Linked DNA regions of Tamandua tetradactyla. The protein of the gene in region 1 interacts with the protein of each later gene in a pairwise test. Links are inferred from orthologs where the notes say so. Each region holds a gene or a part of one and is shown in the gene's direction. Other genes may lie near its edges. The genes, in order: FLACC1 and SULT2B1.

Region 1 (11,193 bases):
TGTTCTGTTTCCATAGCAATCAGATAAACAAACCTTTGCCTTCCGTCTCCCAAGGACAAACCACAGCTCAGGGCCCAAGTCAAGGGAGCTGGAGAGGCGACTTCCTCCTCTAGTTTAACTTTTCACTGCAATACTGAGAGACACAAACTGGATTGTGTTTAGAAGGGAAATTCACTTCTGTGTCAGTTCAGTCTTTTAATAGCTTTTAATTGGATTCCCTGCAAGGCTGTCTCTGCGCTGACTGTGGAATTTCTGCGTTAGCATTTCAATCGATTGTGTAATGACAGCTCAAGTCTTGAATTCTGGAACCTGTTGATTTGAACTAAAGTGAACCCTGACTTCGTGTCGATGGGGAAGAGTTTCTCTGTAACGGTGTAGTTTCTTTAAGACCATTAGCAGTCCAAGGTAAGCTCTTTGGAAAAGATGTCTTCAGCAATTTTTTTCTGCTGGTTATCAGTTCTAACCAGTGACCTCCGTGGAGCCTGCCCTGGCTCACTGGTGACTGTAGTTTCACCAATTGGCGCATTCAGCCCGCTGCGTCTCAGGTAAAATTATTAGAGAGAGATGCAGGAAAAGGAGAGGGAGAAAGAATTCTTAAAAAAAAAAATTTAAAAACACCTATATTCTTAGAGGCAATACATCAGACCACTGTGAATGTAGTAGATCCAGCTGCACTAGAAATATCTACTAAATAGACTGTTGTGTGAAGAAAAGCAAGGCATAGCATAATCTGAAAAGTATGCTGTCATTTGTGTTCATTTTAAGAAGTATATATAGACATGCATACATACATACCTGGATGGATAATCCAAAAACCTGTTAACAGTGGTTCCTTCCTGGGAGGGTACTGGAAGTCACAGGCTGATGTTTAGCTGCTATGCACAGTTCTTGAAATGACCACTCCCAAAGCCCCTCACATGTCCTCCCTGTCATCTTGGTTGCCCCAACTCCTCCCCCAGCACCCCCAAAGCACCTCATGATTAAGCAACTAAGGAGTTAATGTCTGCCATGGAGGTGGGAGAAAAGTCCTCCCAGACGCTGTTCCAGCCCCACAGTCCCCAAACCTAGTCTGACTGTTCTGTGGCTTTGTCTAGCTGGTTGTTAAATGTTTTTACTATCATCCCAATGGATATTTAGAGGGAGAGGCCTTACTTTTTAAGAGCAAAAGAGGTTAGCCACCAAAGCATTATTTGTTATAGGAGAAGAAAAAAAAAAAAAAACCAAATGTTCACCAGTAAGAAATGATTAAAAATATAAAATAAAGTACATTTATAGAATAGAAATCTACATAGCCATGATGATACAGAAACCATATGAAGTCTGAGGTTTACTTTAAAATAGACTGGTGTTGGAGGAGTGAAGTGGACTTGACCTATCCTTTGCGGGGTTAAGTTTCATATGAACAACCCCCAAGACTGGGGGCTCAGACTATAGCTTTGGTTATCCATACCGCTTGTGAGAATATCAAGAATTCAACTTGGGGAAGTTGAATTTCTCCCGGTTCTCACTATTCCCCGAAGGGGACTTTACAAATACTTTTCTGCTCACTGATCAAATCACTCTGGAATTCATCAGGGCATCACTCTGGACAAACCAACAAAATCTCATGTCCTACCCAAGGTTCCAAGTACTTATGGTATTCAATCAAGCTATCAACATAAGTTGATTAAACATGAGTTGCTAATTATTGAAGCCAGGTGACAGGTGAGTTCATTATACTTTTCTTTTCTGCTTTTGTTCATTTTTAAATTTATCCATAGTAAAGTCGAACAAATGATGTTACAGATCTATAATTGCTGACATTTTAAAAAGCTCATGACATATTGTAAAAAAGCATATCTAGGATATGAGTATGGTTTTCACTTATGGAAAGTTATATAAATCCTTAAGATTATTAATAATTATATTATTACAACTATTGTGTATAATTCGTTCTATAAAATTATATAAATATGTCTCTTTAGACTAGGGAGAACTCTAGAATATATCAATCAAAATATGTTCAGTGGTGTTAGTATTTTGGATAATTTTACTTTCTTATGCTTTCTATGATACAATTTTCTTTACAATGATCCTATTTCAGTTTAACACACACACAAACAACAATAAACCTACTTTCAAAAAAAAGGCAGAAATAAATAAATGAAATCAGAAAGATAGACATTAAAGATTGAAATGGTATAATCTAGGAATGCCTAGAGTGTATAATAATAGTAACTAAATGTACAAATTTTAAATATGTTTCTGCATGAGGAAGAACAAAGGAATGTCATTACTGAAGGGTGCTGAAAATAGATGATAATTAATATTTTAAAATTTCGACTTATGTATGAGACTAAAGCAAAAAATGTTTATTTGGTACAAAATTTATATTTTGACTAGTGCATTTCCTAATATAACTTATGTAGATAGCTTGATTGAACACCATAAGTACCTGGAACCTTGAATAGGATATGAGATTTTGTTGGTTTGTCCAGAGTGATGCCCCGATGAATTCCAGAGTGATTTGATCAGTGAGTGGAAAAATATTTGCAAAGCCCCCTTCAGGGAATGGGGAGAATGGGGAGAAATTCAACTTCCCCAAGTTGAATTCTTGATATTCTCACAAGCAGTGTGGACAACCAAAGCTATAGGCTGAGCCCCCAGTCTTGGGGGTTGTTCATATGAAACTTAACCCCACAAAGGATAGGTCAAGTCTACTTAAAATTTAGGCCTAAGAGTCACCCCCAAGAGAGCCTCTTTTGTTGCTCAGATGTGGCCTCTCTCTCCAGCCAACACAACAAGCAAACTCACCACCCTCCCCCTGTCTACATGGGACATGACTCCCATGGGTGTGGACCTTCCTGGCAACATGGGACAGAAATCCTAGAATGAGCTGAGACTCAGCATCAAGGGATTGAGAAAAACCCTAGAATGAGCTGAGACTCAGCATCAAGGGATTGAGAAAACCCTCTCTACGAAAAGGGGGAAGAGTGAAATGAGACAAAGTGTCAATGGCTGAGAGACTCCAAACAGAGTCGAGAGGTTACCCTGGAGGTTATTCTTATGCATTAAGTAGATATCACCTTGTTAGTCAAGATGTAATGGAGAGGCTGGAGGGAACTGCCTGAAAATGTAGAGCTGGGTTCCAGTAGGCATGTTTCTTGAAGATGACTGTATAATGATATAGCTTTCACAATGTGACTGTGTGATTGTGAAAACCTTGTGTCTGATTCTCCTTTTATCTACCTTGTCAACAGATGAGTAGAGCATATGGAATAAAAATAAATAATAGGGGGAACAAATGTTAAAATAAATTTAGTTTGAAATGCTAGTGATCAATGAAAGCGAGGCGTAAGGGGTATGGTATGTATAATCTTTTTTTTTTTGTTTTCATTTTATTTCTTTTTCTATTGTCTTTTTATTTCTTTTTCTGAATTGATGCAAATGTTCTAAGAAATGAGGAATATGCAACTAAGTGATGATATTGTGAATTACTGATTATATATGTAGAACGGAATGATCACATGTTAATGTTTTAGTTCGTTTGTTGTTAAATTTTTTTAATTAGTAAATAAATAAATTTTTTTTAAAAGGCAGAAATAAAAATTTCTATATACAAAATGCCTCTAGGATTCAAAACATTCCTAGCCTGGGTTACTGATTTTTGAGGCCCTACTGCATTGGTGACAATGTAATGTATTCTTTTCTAGCTCTTGTCAACATAGAAATAAAATCTTATGTAATTGTTAGGTCTCAGAAAGAAAATTCTAAGAGTAAAAGGAACTCTTGATGAAGACCCACCTTCAACCTGTCTCCTCAGCATCCTTGGCAGGCCCAAGGATCCAGATATAACCTGTTACAAGCCCCCATCCAACCAGGAAACAACACACCACCTAGTGGGTACCTCCCCTCCTGGCATCACTATCCCTTTAAAACAGCTCCCAGATCAAAGAACTGGAACCATTTTTTTCTTTCTTCTTGCTGTCTCCCCAGGTGGGAGCCAATTTCAGGCTCCCACCTGCTTTCTCCCTTTTGCTCTCCCACCTACTTCCTCTCTGTTTTATTCCTTCAATAAATCTGTTAATCTTTAACTCGGTGTCTCGTGTGGAATCCTTCCACATGACCCCGTGTCTGACAGTAATCATATCCATTACCTACATACCGTTTCATATCTTTTTGCACAAAGAGTTTTTCATGTTTCCACAGACTTTAAAATAAATTATTTAAAAGCTGGGTAAAACTCCACTGAGTGGTTGTATCATAATTTGCCCATGAATTCTGTTTTTTTAAGTCTAATGTTAACACTATCTATAATATTTTGATGACACGGTATTTTGGTAGTTTCACCTGTAGATCTCTTTTTCTCCTCATTGAGCTGGTCCCTGTGGTAACTACCATCCTAATTACTGGCCAGGCAACACTTGTTTATCAACAACCTATTCTGTGCAAGCCACTTGGACCTTGCCCTCGGGATGCCTGCAGTCAGCAAAGTTGTCAACAGAATGGGGGTGGAGGGAGCCATGACACTAGGACAAGAGGCCTGGCTTTAAAAGCAAGTGGGTATGCATAAGTACATGGAGCCTTGAATAGGGCATGACATTTTATAGGTTTGCCCAGTTTGATGCCCTGATAAATCCCAGAGAGATTTGAACAGTGAATAAAGAAGTATTTGCAAAGTCCCCTTGAGGGTACGGCGAGAAAGGCAGAAAACTCAACTTCCCCATTTGGAGAATTCCTGATATACTTGCAAGAAATGGGGACAACCAAATCAATAGGCCAAGCCCTCAGTCTTGGGGGTTGTTCATATGAAATTTATCCCTGCAAATGATAGGCTAAGCCTACTTAAAATTAGACCTAAGAATCACACCCAGAGAACCTCGTTTATTGCTCAGATGTGGACTCTCTCAGCCAACAGGGTAAGAAAACTCACTGCCCTCCCCATCTCTATATGAGACATGACTCCCAGGGGTATAAACCTCCCTGGTAACGTGGGACAGAAATCCTAGAATGAGCTGGGACTCAGCATCAAGGGATTGAGAAAACCTTCTCAGCCGAAAGAGGAAAGAGAGAAATGAGATGAAATAAAGTGTCAGTGGCTGAGAGATTTCAGACGAGTTGAGAGGTTATCCTGGAGGCTATTCTTAAACATTATATAGATATCCCCTTTTTAGTTTAAGGTTTATTAGATAGGCTAGAGGGAAGTGTCTGAAACTGTAGAGCTGTGTTCCAGTAGCCACGTTTCTTGAAGATGATTGTATAATGATAAAGTTTTCGAAATGTGACCGTGTGATTGTGAAAACCTTGTGTCTGGTGCTCCTTTTATCTATGGTATAGACAGATGAGTAAAACATGTGGATTAAAAATAAATAAATAATAGGGGGAGCAAATGTTAAAATAAATTGAGTAGATTGAAATACTAGTGATCAATGAAAGGGAGTGGTAAGGGGTACAGAAAAAAATAGGGGGAACAAATGTTAAAATATATTGGGTAGGGTGGGTAATGGTGGTGCAGTGGCAGAGTTCTCTCCTGGCATTCCAGAGACCCAGGTTCAATTCCTGGCGCCTCCCCTTGCAAAACAAAACAAAAAAAACTGTATATATATGGGGGAAGGGGTATGGTATGTATGAGTTTTTTCTTGTTATTTCTTTTTCTGGAGTGATGCAAATATTCTACGAAATGATCATGGTGATGAATATACAACTATGTGATGATATTGTGAGTCATTGATTATGTACCAAGAATGGAATGTTCATGTTACAAATGTTCGTGTTTGTATGTTGTTATGTTTTGTCAATAAAAATTAAAAATAAAAAAATAGCCAGTGAGTGTGCAGATAGAGGTAAGTGCAGGAGTGGGCTGGGCCAGAGGTCTGAGAAGAGGGAGCTGTGCAGAGTAACTGCAAAATCCCTGCACAAATCCCTTTTGCCATGTAAGGTAACATGTTTGCAGTTTCCAGGGATTAGGACGAGGAAACCTCTTTGGAGGGGCCTTATTTGATGCACCACATGCCTCACCAGATCTGTCAAATACCTATTAGTATCGTCAGATAATCTACCTGTTCCATGTCCTGAGTTTTTCAGGGTGTTGGAGGTACATATTGGTTGTCTTTCATTCATACCCTCTCTGCAGCCATGCAGGCTAAACTCCACGTGTGTGAAGTGAGGGAGTTATTGTGTCAAATGCGTGACATCCCTTGTGCAACATAGTCTCCTCTTCCGTTCTCTTTGCTCTTGTGGATTAAACCTCTTTGAGAGAAACCTACAGTGCAGTTCTGGACAAGAAGAAAGATAAACAAGTGTGGTCAAAACTCCTTGTTTATCTGATATTTGCCTTTCATACAAAGTTTCGTAACAGGGACTTTTGTTTGTTTTTATATAGCCAGGGAGGAAGTTTGGACTCTTCAGGCAGGTGACCAGGAATGAGAATCTGGGGAATTGACTTGGACGGTAGTTTGAGTCACAGAGCTTATTTTCCAGAAAAGTCTGAGCAGGACCTACAGTGGGGATCTCTTCACTTAAGTGAGAACTAGCATGGCTTGGTTGAAGAGCAAGGACTTAGGAGTCAGACAAACTTGTGCTTGTTTCCCAGCTCTGCAACTTGTTACCCTGTGACCTCATTGAGCCTCAGTATCCTCATCTGTAAAATGGGGGTAAAAATAATTAATCACTTGCTATGTACATGGCTCACAGTTAGCTCTCAACTATGGCAAATCTTAAATTGCTTATAAATAAAGACTACTGGGTGGTAAGGAATGAGGTCCATAGGCAAGACCCTGAGCCAGATCAACAGCTTCTGGAATCTACTATGTGCTTTGTACCTTCCCTGGGCCCTTCCCAGCTTGTCTCTAAGTAATGCTGTTTTGGCTCTGAACGGTTTAATCCTTGCAGCTGTTTCCCCATTTTTAGCAAGAGGCTCCTGACCCAGCAGCCAAGACTGCCCTTGACCTTGGACCATGTACCCCAACCCTCTCATCTACTGCACCTGCTGGGACCCTTGGAACTTGGGACCACGGAAGCTAATCAAGACCCCTCATCCACCAAGCAAGACCTCCCCCTCCTCAAGGAAGTCCAAGTAATGTTTGCCTGTCATGAGGTAGGGGGAAGAGGGCTAGGGTTCCACTTGCAGCCTTCTTTCTCTTACAAGATTTCCAAAACAGTGAACTTGGCAGCAAAATCCCAAGTGGGCCAGAAAACCTATCTTTATACAACTTTCCCTGCAATCCTACTGACTGCCCATTGAACTTGTCCATCCTGCCCAGGCCAAGTGCCACAAAAGTGAGGAAGTTTCAGAGCCACTACAACAGGGAACCGCAGCTTCCAACTGAAAGGCTTAGGCAGTAGCTGACCCCACAATGTGGGATGATGAACTCTGAGGACGGGGGGACCAGCAGTGTTGCCAACCTCGGGACTCCCTGGGACAGCGAACAAGAGCTAAAGCCGTGGGCTGGAGATTTCCCAAGACCCAGGATTACAGTTGTCAGGTCACATATCCCAATTATTGGTTCAGAATTTAGGGACACCATGAGGATGCACCTAATCTGAGAAAATAAGACAGATTTCTGAATTTCCATTTTTTTCTTTTTATTATTTATTTTTCACTTTCAGGCTAACTCCTCTTCTGCCAGCTCCAAAAAAATGCAATTTCCAATCAACATCAAAACCTATTGTGAATCCAAAGTAAGTATTTTTATTTCTACGAGGCAGGAATGGTTTGCGGCATGTAGATAAAATAATGTCCCCATTGGCCTTTATAGCTCTGTCTGACTTAAAACTAACTGTTATCAGACACGTGCCAGAACCCACCATGATTTTCCTAGAACTTCAGACCCTGCATGCAGATTCCGTGTTCCTTTGTACCATAGTTTTCAAAGTCACTGCAAATGAGCTGTCAGCTGAGAGGCCCTCCAAAGCTATGTTCTGCCTAAAAGGGGACAATGCCCAGTGCCTGTCACAGGCAAAGAGCCTCAGGGAGAATCCTGAAAAATAGACTTTTTGATGATTGCTTTCCTGTGTCTAAGGTCTTCTGTAGGTTGCACCTTTGATTTTCTTTTTTAACTCAAAATTTAAAGTTTTTACAAGCTTATAACCATGACTTTAACTTTGAACTATAATGTATAAATTAGAACTGTGACATGGTTTTAGGCCTTTGCATGACTCTTTGTAATTTATCTATTTATTATTTAGAAATTATTTATGGAGCACCTGTTATTTCGTAGGCACTGTTGCGGTGTTGGGGAAACATCAGTGAACCCAGCAATGTTCTGGCTCTACTGGACCTTACTTTTTAATGGGGATTGGGAAAGATGATGAAAAACAAGTGAACATATCCAAGATTGGCAAGTGCCATGTAGAGAAATTATGAAAGCAAACGCGTTAAGGAAAGGTGGGGGTCGGGAGAGTCGTTCTTTTACTTAAGGAGGTCAGGGAAAGTCTCCTTTGTAAAGGGGACACGGGGGGGGGGGGCATGAAGGTATCTCCAGGAAGCACTCCTGGCAGGGGGGACAGCAAGGACAAAGGCCCTGAATGGGAGCTTGTGTCACCTGCTTGCCCTTTTCCAGGGACACAAGGAGGCCAGTGTGGTGAGAGTGGAGGGAGGAGGAGAGAGAGGTGGCGAGGAGCCCAGAGAAGGTAACAAAGATGATGAATGTGGTTGACGATGAATCATGGCCCCCAACACAGTCCAATCCTCATTCCTGGAACCTGTGAATATGCTGTGCTACTTGCCCAAATTGCAGATGGAATTAAGATTGTAATCGACGGACCTTGAGATGGGGAGATTGTCTTGAGTAATCTGGTTGGGCCCAGTGTAATCACAAGGGTCCTTCTAAGTGAACGAGGAAGGTAGGAGTGTCAGAGTCAGAGAAGGAGATGTGACAATGAAAGAGAGGTTGGAGTCAAAGCGATGTGATGGCTGGTTTTGAAGGTCAACGGGGGCCAGCCTCCAGAAACCGGAAAAGGCAAGAGAACAGATGGCTCCTAGAGACCCCAGAGGGAGCACAGCCCTGTCAACACCTTGATATTAGCCCAATGAGACTCTATAGATTTCTGATCTCCAGAATTGCAAGATAATAAATTAATGTGGTTTTAAGCCACCAAGTTTGTGGTGACTTTTTACAGAAGTTCCTGGAAACTAATTCAGTGAGGGACTTTGCAGGTCAATGTCAGGACTTTGTTACTCTGAAAGGCATGTAAGGCCATCTGAGGAGTCTCAGGAGAAGAGTGACATGGTCTGACTGAGATTTTGAAAGGATTAATCTGGCTGCTGAGTTGCAGATGGACTGTAGGGGGCAAGGGTAGAAGTAGAGACCAGGTAAGAGGCAATGGCAGGAATCCAAGCAAGAGATAATGGTAATCAGACCTGGTGGAGCAGAAGAGGTGCTGAGAAATGGTTGCATTCTGGATATATTCTGAAGACAGAAACTTATCAGATCTGCCAATTGAATGGGTGGAAAGTATCAGAAAAAAAAAAAGAGGAGTCAAAACTGACTTTAAGAGTTTGGGTTAAGCAACTCGAAGGATGGATTTGTCTTTTTCTGGGATGCGGAAGACCTCTGGAGGGGCTGTGAGGGGTTGGCCATGGGAAGTTTGAGATGCCCGTTAAATATCCAAGTGGCAATATGGAGTAGGCAGTCAGATAAATGAGTCTGGAGTATGGGAGTGAGGACTGGCTACAGATATACATTTGAGAGTCCTCAACACCTAGATAATCCTTAGAGTCCTGGGACCAGGTGAGCGGTCAAAGGCAATGCATGGAGACAGGTAGTTCTGAGCCATGGGGCACTCCAGTGCTTAGAGCTCAGGGAGATGAGAGGAGTCAGGAAATGATGCAGAGAGGGAGTGGGCAGAGAGGTAGGTGAAGAATCAGGGGAGTGTGATGCCCTGGAAACAAAATGATAAAGATGAACTTTTAATTAATAAATTAACTGCTGACTCCTCTTTTTGCATTTTTAAGTTTCAGAAACTGTGAAACAATACTAAGATAATTGCTCCCATAAAATCAGCAATAAGTCTATCATAATCCCACCTTTCTCTCTGTGTATATATATTCATATATATGTATAAAGTAAAATAATAGTATATATATGTTATTCATTTTAGATATGCATTAGTCATTTAGATATAGCATATATAGACTATTTGAATGAAAACAGTTTAAATTCAATGTTTTTGTGTCTTACTGTTAATGAAAAAAGGAATATTTTTCATTACGTAGAAATGCTGTATTCTTCAATGAAGAGTGACACACATGGTTCCCTGAGCTGAATGTATATGTGTTGGGGGAGAGGGGGTGTCACCTGACTCATAGAGCCTTGCAGTGTGGGGGTGTATAAAAACCCCTTTATCTGGCTGAGACTTTCCAAAACCAAAAGTTCTCCCAATATCAGAAGACCAACTTTTCTGTCTCCTTGGGCAAGACCTTCTCACAAGGGTCCAAGCTTTGAAGCACTCGGGGAGCCCTGCTTCAGTGGATTTTCCAGCCACCCTGGGGATTTCCCAAGAAGGCTGGGTGGCCAGAGCTCAGAGGGCGGGGTTGAATGAAGACAGGATCAAGGTTTGCAACTCCTAAGCCCTGAACCTCTCTTTGCTCTCTGGTTGCTTTCTAAGTAAGCTTTTCTCTTGCAGGATGAAAACACATTTAAGAAAACAAGAGGAGAACAATAAATTACCTTATGTGAGTAAAAATGGAAAGTAATAGTGGAACTAACATTTCCTGAGCACCAACCACATGCAAACATGGGCTTTTACATGTGCTTTACACATACCTTTGCATGTACTTGCCTCCTTGAGCCTTTGCAATGATCCTTTGAGGAGGTGCTGTTATCATTGTACATTATATGTGGCTGCTAAATGACAGAACCAGGGCTTGAACTCAGCTCGGCCAGACCCCAGGGCAGAATTTTTTTATTACTGCATTGGGCAGGCTGAGGAGAGCGTCCCAGGGCAACGAAACTGATCAAGATACAGCTCATGCCCATAATGCAGGAAACCTTATGCTGCACTTGGGAAACCACAAAGCACTGGGGAAGGGCACCTTTGTCCTATGAGGAACTGAAGTACAGAGGTGGCGATAATTACCGGTAGGTAGCAGAGCCAGGATTCAAACTCAGACCTTTCTGATTCCAAACCCTGAGTGATTTCCACGATGACCAGCTGCCTCCTGGTTTCTAGCCATGATGGAGAGCACAGAGTGGGCACAGGGTTAGGGGAGGG
Region 2 (10,401 bases), on another chromosome or scaffold:
GGAAAACTCAATGTTGCCGGGTTTTTAAATTTACTTTTTAGAGCTATAGTAGATGTACAGAAGTCATGCCTGAAATTCACTTTAGATTTATATTTTATTCCCCCCAACATAGCCGAAATATTGTCATTTCAACAGGTAATCGATACCAAAAAAAGTACTATTAATGAGCTATTTTACATTTTGTGTGTATGTGTGTGTGTGCCCCATTAAGCCTTTGAAGTCTGGCGTGTGTTTATTCAATTCAGACGCTGGCTTTTCATCAGAAACACTCGATCTGCATTTAGATCTCATCAACTTTACAGTTGAAAACCCAGGTTGTTCTAGCCTTGCTTAAATGGTTTCCGACAACTGACTTGAGCATGCTCGTTTAGATTCACAGGAATAACAAGGAAATAAAATGAGAGATTAGGTTCCCCGGGCTCCCTCGCCCCGTTTTAAGCGCTCAGCAGCCACACGTGGCGGGCGGCCTCGCCTGGGACCGCACAGGATAGATGCATTTCCATCACCGCATCATCTTCTGGAGACAACCGTGAGTGTCCCAAGGGCCAGAGGAGGCACATAGTAGGAGCTTAATAGATGTATGTTGGAAGGAGAGACGGCGAGGGCGGGGAGAGAGAAGAGAAAGAGAATAGAGAGAAATGAAAGACAGAGGAGTTGAGAGCCTCCAGGCAAAAGGCACAGTGGGCTCAGCGGCTCAGTGGTGTGGTGGAGCATGGAGGATTTAGGGAACAAGTCGAACTTGACAGTGAGAACAGAACAACACTGGCTGCCCTGGCAGAGCAGCTGATGCTGTGTGACGCTGTGCTGAGGTGGGGAGTGGAGGTGGGGCAGTGCAGACTGACAGGGATGTGCAGTGAGCCTGATGGGGTTTAAGGGACAGAGCCCAGGACCTCAAACCCAAAGTGTGTCATCCACGGGGTGGGTGTGGTGGGTGAGACACTCCATGGCTCAAAGCCTCAGTCTCCCCCTCTCTAAAATGGGCTGATAAGTACCTCCCTTAGCAGGCTGCATGTGAATCACATCCTATAACACCCTGCAAAGCCCAGCATCTACCGGAGGGGCAACGCCTCCTTTTAAACCAAGCTCCTGCCCTCAAGGAGCTCACAGCCCAGCAAAGTCACAAGACAATGAGTGCAGAAGCTCATTAGGAATGAAGCCCTTGGAGAATTTGCAGAGAGTAATTAGCTTATTTAGCTAGATTTCTTTGAGTTTCATTATTAGGAAAGTCATACATCAAAGTGATATATATCTCAACTGGGTTCTTTTGGCAAACCCATTTTAGAATTGCTATAGATATAGGTGTTTACACGTGCAAGAACTGCCAAGGGAAAAAATGGGGAGGAGGAACTTGCCCTCTTGTTATTAAAACTGACATAAAAGTACTATAATGAAAACAGCATGACACCTACTGTATGATCCAGCAATTCCATTACTAGTTATTTATCCTAGAAAAATGAGAACATATGTCCACACAAGGACTCGTCCAGGAACAATCACAATGTTTTGTTTTAAAAACCTGGAAACAGCTCAAGTGTCTATTAACAAAGGGGATGGATATGTACACTATGGTTTATTTAGGCAATGGACTACTACTCAGCCATAAAAAGGAACAGACTGCTGTATACACGCAAACATGAATTAATATAATATAATATAATATAATAGGATATGATATATGAGAATATGCCCCTAGGAGTTAAATAGTCCTGTGACAGGAGGAAGCTGACATTTAAGGAGGCTATATGAGTGGCCTGAGGTCAGACCCATGTCTTTTATCTTCCTACCTTCTCCCCTCACTCATCCGCATTTCTGGAACCACTCACATCCCCTGCACTGAAGGAACACACTCCCAAAGGCACTTCATGCCAGAACAAACAGAGGCTCAGAGAGGTAAATACAGTTCCCTTAGGTCACGTAGCAGCCAGAATGATGAAAGGTTCAAACTCTGGAGCCATACTGTCTGGGTTCAAATCCCAGCCCTGCCCTTTGCCGTAGTGCAACACTGGCCACGTGACTCTACCTCTCTGTGCTTCCCTTTCCTACTTGTGCAAAGGGAGGGTAACCCCACCGGCCTCAGAATAAATGGGTTTAGGTCCATTACCCAGTTGGTGAACGCCAGGGATCGTTATTAGCGTGATCTGTATTCCTTTAGCAAATACTGATTTTTTGAAGTTCTCCCTGAAGGCCATCCTGTGGGGGCTACTTCAAATAGATCAGCAAATTGGACACACTAAACAAACTATCAGACAAAAAAGAACCCTGGGTTCATAGAGATTACATGCAAACAGGGAAAACAATGCATAATCAAGGTAATATTTTAAATTTCAGAGAAGCTGAGACGGGGACAAGTGGGAAGGGAAAAACAGGGCAGGGCCAGTGGGCTAGGGTTGGGGGCCATCGGTTAAGGAAGTCTGCATTTATGAGCTGAGATGTGATCTGGGTCTTGACCGTGGAGACGCTGGCAGAGAGAGGAGGCGGGAAAGGCATTCCTGGCAGAGGAAGAGCGTGTGCAAAGGCTCAGAAGTATGGAAATGCTCGGAGAAATGGGTGTGACTACAGCCATCTGGGAAGAAATGAGGCCAGATGAGCAGGCAGATCTAGGTTAAATGGGGCCTTAAGTGCTGGGCTGAGGGGCACTGGGGAGAAGGGGAGGGGCAGGGGCAGTTGGGGACTGGACTGGAAGCAGGGAGGCTGGGGTGGAGGCTGGACCGAGGGTGTGAGTGAGAGAAGGTGACCTGAGCTGGGCCAGGGCCATGGGGGATGGAGAGGAGGGGCCGAATGTTTTCTGGAGGAAGGCAGGGGAGGATTGAGATGCTGCTATGCAGTTTTTAAGAGTCCTACATGTCCTGGGGTCTTTAGTAGACCCCTTCACATCAGCTGCAGCTTTGTCAGCTGACCCTGCCATCAGGTCCTCCTTCTCTGACCCAGCTCAATCATCACCTTCATTCCTCCGCATAAATTCAGCGACAGCCCTATAGCCCACATGCCAGGCTGAGGACGTGGCCTGGGAACAAAACAAGCTTGTGACCCCGGGAGAGGGAAGGCCACCCTGGGGGCAGATTTGATTTACGAGGTGGGGACAGGAGGTGCACCACGCCTGCCTTAGGACACAGGCAAGCAGGAATCCAGCTGGAGGCCTCCCTGCTTGGCGTGGGGAGCAGGAGGGCCTGCATTCCTGGCAAAAAGAACTACAGGTACCAAGGCCCAGAGATGCGAAGAGGGCGCCATGACTGGGGGCTGGGGCTGAGACGTGGGGTACATGGGGCAGGTGAGACAGAAACTGCCTGAGGGCTGAGCCTGCCCCAGGAACCAGGGTTCATATCCCAACTCTGCCCTGCACTGGCTTCATAGCCAGAACTTCCATTTTCTTGTCCTTAGCATCGTAACCTGCAAGGAAATCCCCAGATTTACCCTGTTCATGCCACAGCAATTATTGATTGAGCAGCTAGCCATGGTGGGCAGGCTGTTCTGGGCTCAGAGAGTGTAGTGGTGAGGGTCGACTGCTGCAGGTCTGGGGTGTCCAGACTTTGGGAGCTTTTAAAGGCCCCTTAGGGGATTCTGGTCTTTGGGAGTCTTTAAATCCCCTTCAGGAGATTCTAAAGTACAGTGTGGACTAAGGACCACCGAGGCAGATGTAAGGACCTACAACAGGTGCTCTTTGCCTGTCTCTTGTCCTGGTCCCTGTCACAGGCTCACGCATGCGTGCCTTCATTCATTCCCTTACATACTGGGTGAGCACCAACAAAGTCCCAACACTCCACATTCCACCCTGGCCTCCTGGGCCAGGTCTGGATGGCCAATTAGGAGACAGTAAGTGCCAAGAGTGGGTGGCAGGAAGAGGGGGCGCTCTCCTATTCATTCATTTATTCACTCAGTGAATATCTCAGGGACTCCTGAAGGACACGGCCCTGGATCTTTCCCATTTGGTGGCTCCATTTTCCTTTTCTGTAAGACTGGAAGGAAGCTGCTCCCTCAAGCAGCTGTTGGCCAGACCAAAGACTAAAATATAACCGTAAAAGGAGCTTCCGTTTCCTGAGCCCAGTGCTTAAAATATATTTTCCCTTTTAATCCTCAGGTAGGATTAAAACCATGAGGTATAGATTACCATCATCCCCAGGGACAAATGAGGAAACTGAGGCTCAAAGTGGTGGATGCACTGCCCGAGGGTGGAAATGGTACGTGTGACCCACAGACTCGGAGCTACAAATCTGCCTGGTAACTGATGATCTCACAGCTCTCCCCCACTGGGCTAAACCTGCCTGGTAACCAGTGACATCACGAATTCTACCACCGCTACCGATGGGTAACTGGTTACATCATCAAACAATTACAGTAATTACCACTTCCTGTGTGCAGAGGCTGTGCCAAGAACCTCTTCTGAGCCCACGTGATGCCCAGCGTTGCCTCTATTATTGCATATAATAACAACAATAATAATTTTAGCCTAGATGTATTGAATGTAGATTACAAACCCGGTGCTATTTTAACCATTTTTATTTTTAAATTTAGCAGATATTTATATAGTGCTTATTCTGTGCCAGGCATAGTTTGAGCATTTAACTGCTGAACACGACCCTATGAGGTAAAGAACGTTATTATCCCGTTTTTATGGGTAAGGAAACTGAGGCACAGTCACACAGCTGGTGGGATTTAGGATTCAAGCCTATGTAGTCTGGCTTTCTAGAATTTGTGCTGAGAACATGACACTGTATCACCTCTCTTACCCCCTATTTTACAATTGAGAAACTGAGGCACAGAGAGATTAAAAGGCCCTCCGCTCGGCTGGAAAATGGCAAAGTCAGACTCGGAGCTGGCAACGAGCTCTTACCAGTCTGGGTACTGGGAAGTAGGACCCACAAAGCCTGTATCAGTCTGGGTACTAGGAAGTAGGACCCACAAAGTTCCCCATGCAGCAACCAGCTCTTCTTGCCCTCTCCAGAGCAAACCCCAGGGAGGAAGGGGGCCAGTGCACCCAGAATCCCCCACAGACGCCCTCCCAGCCCCTCTCAGGGCCCTGCCCTTTGGGAACTCCGGCAGACTGGGCTGAACCTTCCGGTTCCGCAGAGCTCTCCTGCGACCCCAGGCAAGGGCACAGATCTCTGGCCTACATCCCTCAGCACCAGGTCTCATGGAAACTCTTCCCTATCCCTCAAATCGCTGACGCCAATGGAGGGCTTCAGCAAAGACAATGGTGCCCCCAGCGCAAGCTGCAGCCCTCTATGGACCGCAGGTTCCTCATGACGTCAACTGAGCAGTTGAGGAGAAACTAAAGGAAAAGGTCTTTGTAAGCCAGCAGAATTTTCAACTTCTTCCACCCCAACATTCGGCCTCCTTTTTAAGAACATTTTTGTTTTCATGGAGAGAGACTTTTTTTCCTTTAACGTTTTAGTCATTCATTCATTTAATATTTTATTAACATAAAACTCACAAGAGTACCACCACAGAGGTGTGCAAAACGGGCACCCACCCACCGCCTTGTACCCAACCCCCAAGGAGTCCCCTCCCGTCCCCACCCTGTCCCGGCCCTCCCACCAAGGGGAACCAGATCTGGCTTTCTAACCCCAGAAATCACTTTTCCCTGTTTCTGAATTTCTGTGGGCTATTGCGCGTCCCCCGCCCTTCACTCAGCGTTATGCTCGAGCTTCTGGGCGGTCAGACCAACACTCCCCTGATAAAACAATTATTTGTAACATTCTCTTCACTACCCCAAAATGGAACTTCTTAGTAATGTTATGCTATATCCTTTCAATATAACCAACACACACATATAGTTTTGAAATTTCAGTCTATCTTCTTATAAAGGGACGCAAATGAAAAATAGCACAGAGTAGTTACCATGGGGCAGACCCGCTGTGAGGGCCAGTTTAGACCGTTTAGAAGAAAAAACAGTTGCGACTGCAAAATTAGGTAGAGGAAATGTTTGTCTGGAACGTGAAAGAAATCACAGCAACCTGCCACATGGTGGAGGCAGTCTGCTATGTTCTGAAATATACGAACATTCTAGAAAAATAGCTCAGACTACCTTCCGGCTCTAGACCCTGGCGGCGCCGGCAGCCTTGAGACACGAAACATCGCGATACTACTCCCGTAATTCGCGATACCACAGCATAACATCACGACACAACCGCCGTAATATCGCGATACAGCTTATGTCCCTGCGCCTTTACGTCGTGGCGGCCGTCTGCACGCATCCGGGCCCGGGTCACCCAAACAGTACCCCCGACGTGCCTGCGAAGCTCATCAGTGTCACACTAAAGCTAGACGCAATGTACTCCCAATCCAACTCCCGTTAGCCCTATCCCCAAAATACTCATCGCCTCCCACGCCACGGTATACGAGATTCTGGGGAGGTTGGAATGGCGGGAGGCGGCAGACGTCCTCGATTGCTCTGAGGCTGTCTCACCTTTGAAAATTGTGACTGAAGCGTCTGGCCACGTGAACACATTGCTGGATGGGGCTGAGGGTTGGAAAAGCAGCTCGAGTGTGAGAGGCTCAAAGCTGAAGGCGTTCTTTAGCGTGGCGATGACTCTGCCCGTGGTTTCCTACGCGGGCACTGCCCCTCAGCAGCCGGGTGGGGGTGAGAAGGGGCCCTCGTTGGGTAAAATGGGGTGGCGACTGAACATCCGCCTTCCAGGATTGGGGGGAAGCATAAAATGTATGGAAAGCGTTAAGCACCGGGCACCGTTGCCACCACCATTTTGCAGAAGAAGAAACGAGGCTGAGCCTAAGTTCCTCCGCAAGGTTGCATTGGCCAGGGGCATCGCCCCCTGGGGCCCCCTCCTTGCTCACCTCTCACGCCAATCCTGAGATTTCTCTGCCACTTTCTGACGTGAGTCTGGGAGGCCTCAGCTGTACAACTTAACCCTCCATGCAGACTCCGGGGACCTTGGTCTCACACCCTCGCAGGCCCCCGGGCGACCTTTGCCCTTCTCTTCCTACCTTCTTATCCTCATGGTGTCTCCCCTGCCTTCTTATACAGCCAGAAGCTGCAAGGCGAATACTTCAGGTACAAGGGTATCCCCTTCCCCGTCGGCATCTACTCCTCTGAGAGCATCAGCATCGCAGAGAACGCCCGCGATGTGCGGGACGACGACACCTTCATCGTCACCTACCCCAAGTCAGGTACATTTGGGGCCTGGAGAGTGGAAGAATGGGGATGGGACATCCGGGGAGAAGGGAGAGCAAACAGCCAGGGGGGTGGATCTTGACTCTGTCTGGCCCCTCAGCCACTTGCGCCCTTTCCCTGAGTCATCCACATGGCCTTCTCCCACTCTTCCTCCCGGTCTGAGAGAGGCCTTCCCGGCCCTCCCTAGCTAAGACAGTTCTCCCATCCTGCCTCCTGTCCCTTTCCATCCCCTTTACCTACCCTTCTTCATGACATTTATCATTATCTGGCACCTATCATATTTCTATTTATTTATTCCCCACAAGAAGGTGAGATCTGTGGTTGCTGATATTTTAGTCTACCTTGTTCACTGCTGTGTTCCTAGAGCCAGCAACTGTGCCTGGCACATAATAAGCGGTTAATAAATATTTGTGGGAGGGAGGAAGAATGGAAGAGTGGATGAAAGGAAGATAGGCAAGAAAGAAGGAAGGGAGGCTCTTTCCTCCATTTGCTCATTGACATGCTATTTATTGGTCACTTGTCATGGAGACACACTTCTGAACAAGAAAGACGGTTGTCGGTTAGGAAAGACAGGCTTTATTTAAATGCACAGTCACCTATATTACTATATAATTAGGAGTCAGAATGAGTCCCACCAAGGAAGGGTGCAGGAAGCATTGAAGGTAGGGAGCAGGGGGAGGCAAAACCAACCTGGTCTGGGGGATCAGGGAGGCTTCCTGGGAGGCTTGTTCACACTAGGACATGGAAGATGCAGAAGGGTCTGGGTGGTGCTGAGGAGGACCCTAGGAAGGAAGTCCTAGACAGAGGACCAGCACGTGCAAAGGCCCTGAGGTGGGAGAGGGCATGGTGAATTGGAGGGACAAGAGAAGGTGAGTGAGGTTGGGATGGAGTGAATGATGAGAAAGGCTGGAGGGGGTGTGGGTAGATGCTAAGGTGAAGGTCTGTGATGACCAAACAATGGGGACCTGTTGGAAGGCTTTAGTCAGAGAAGAGACAGACTTTGGCTTTTGTTTTTTTTCTCTCAGTTGATGGAGTTAACTTGTTTGACTTTTTTTTTTTCCAAAATATTTTTTTTGATAAATTTCAAAATACTGCATTCATCCTTGTGTACAGAGTTCATGAGGGGTTTTGTATAATATTTTATCAAGATATTATTCACACACTGTACAATTCACCCATTCAAAGTGTACAGTCCACTGGCTTTAGGATATTCACAGGTTGTGCAGCCATCACCACAATCCATTTTCGATCACTTTCATAAGCACCAAAAGAAACCCCATGACCTTTAGCCTTCACCCTCTGATCCCTCCCATACCTCCAAGACCTAAGCAACCACTGATCTACTTTTTGTCTCTCTAGAGACATTCATAGCTCCAAATTTCATAGGAACAAAAAGTTTACAATGAGAGATCTCTTTCTACCCACAGTCACTGGTATTGCCCTGTGTATCCTTCCAAACTTGCAGAGATGAGCAAAAATGTACGTATTTCTTACTTTTGTCCAGAGACATTAACATATGTGCCATTCCACATCTTGATGTTGTTTATGCTTTTCTCCTTTTCTTTTTTTTTTTTTTTTTTTTAAAGAGAGAGGGAGGAAAGGAAGGAAAGACAGAGAAGGAAGGAAGGATGGAAGGAAGGAAGGGAGGAAGAAAGGGAAACATTTTTAAACATTTTCTTGTTTTATTATATTTTGTTTGTTTGTTTGTTTTTTTACATGGGCTGGGGCCGGGAATCGAACCGGGGTCCTCCGGCACGGCAGGCAAGCACTCTTGCCCGCTGAGCCACCGCGGCCCGCCCTCTCCTTTTCTTTAATTTCTTTTTCTTACACCTTGATATCATCCCCTTAGAACTTTAAACAAAGAGCTTTCTCTTTTTTTACAGCTCTGCAGTATTCCAGAATGTGGATGTGCAATAATACTTGTTTAACACATTCCTTACTGATTGATATTTAGAGTTTTCCAAACTTTTGTCTTTATCAGCAGTACTGTGCTGAGTAACCTTATACATACATTATTTGCATCTGTTTGTATCAATAGGTAAGATAAATTCCTCCGTGTAGAATTATGTGATTGGAAGTTCTGTGCATTTGTAATTTTGATGGAGTTAGTATCCCTACTTAGATACAGAAGTTTGTTCTCCCAACTACAGGGTCTGAGGGGGCCTGTTTCTCATACCACAGCCAACATCATGAATCAGGCTTTTAAATGTTTGCCAAACTGGTCCGTGAAAAAATGGAATGTCAGTGTGGTTTTAATTTGCATTTCCATTGTTATTAGTCTAGTTGAGCATATTTTTAGATTTGTAAAGAACTATATATTTCCCTTTCTATGATTGATCTATTCTTATCTGTGGTCCGTTTTTTTTTTTTTTTCTCTGTTGAGTTGTTGGCTTTTTGTTTGCGTTGTAGGAGCTCTTTTCTATTAACAAACCTAACCCTTGTGTGCATTATGAATTATGCATGTTTCCCTACTTAGATGGTCATTTGTCTTTTGACTTTGTTCATAATAGGTTTTTCCATTCAGATTTATTCTGAAATTATGCAGTCAAATGTATTTGGCTTTTTAGGTTGCTTTGTAATTTGAGGTCTCTTTGAACTCATGGTTCGTCATTCTATGATTGGGATTTTAATGGCATGGACTCTGGTCGTTGGGGGATTAACATAGGGTCAGATCTGTGGTGATGCTTCAAGCCTATCAAGACAGTATTCCATGGAGAAACCTGTGTTCCAAAAGTTATTCACAGCTGGGTTTAAATCCTTAGTGCTCCCTCAGGAAGTATGGAAAAGACCTGTAATGTCTCCAGACCCCTGATTTCCTCATCTCTGACATAGAAGGTACTAACAGGACCTTCCTATATTAGTTAAAGTTACAGGTTGAGCTACTATAACAAATAGACCCAAAGAAGTAAGCTTATTTCTCCCTCCCTTGACAGTCCTGAGGTAGGTGGGCTATACAGGTAGACTCGTTTCCAAGCGGTCACGTAGGAGGCAGCCTCCTTCTGGCTTGCTGGCCTCTGCTAGGTACTCCCCTTGGTACTGACACTGTCTCCATAATGCTGCCAGCAGTAAAGGGAAGAGAGTGGTGGGGGGAGCGTGCCTTTCAAAGGCACGACCCACAGGTGCATTTATCACTTCCGCTCACATCTCATGGGCCAGAGCTTAGTCACGTGATCTCACTGGGCTGCAGAGGAGACTGGGAGATGTGGTCTCTGGCTGGGTGCCGGAGTGCCCTGCTAAAAATTAGGAGTTCTGATACGAACACAAAAAGAAGAGAA

Evidence for each region.
Region 2: the proteins of FLACC1 (region 1) and SULT2B1 interact in binary tests that used the Homo sapiens proteins (3 or more experiments, as listed by UniProt). The two-hybrid records come from large-scale screens. The link is inferred for Tamandua tetradactyla from reciprocal best matches to the Homo sapiens genes FLACC1 and SULT2B1.

The regions. Positions count from the first base shown.
Region 1 is NC_135329.1:175,868,051-175,879,243, reverse strand, and holds the start of FLACC1 (flagellum-associated coiled-coil domain-containing protein 1), read left to right. Parts: upstream 1-7,110; 5' UTR 7,111-7,341; coding exon 7,342-7,463; intron 7,464-7,587; coding exon 7,588-7,659; intron 7,660-10,157; exon of another isoform or gene 10,158-10,605; coding exon 10,606-10,654; exon of another isoform or gene 10,655-11,193.
Region 2 is NC_135342.1:12,463,570-12,473,970, reverse strand, and holds the start of SULT2B1 (sulfotransferase 2B1), read left to right. Parts: upstream 1-6,130; 5' UTR 6,131-6,149; coding exon 6,150-6,268; intron 6,269-6,979; coding exon 6,980-7,122; intron 7,123-10,401. UniProt on the Homo sapiens protein: Sulfotransferase that utilizes 3'-phospho-5'-adenylyl sulfate (PAPS) as sulfonate donor to catalyze the sulfate conjugation. Responsible for the sulfation of cholesterol.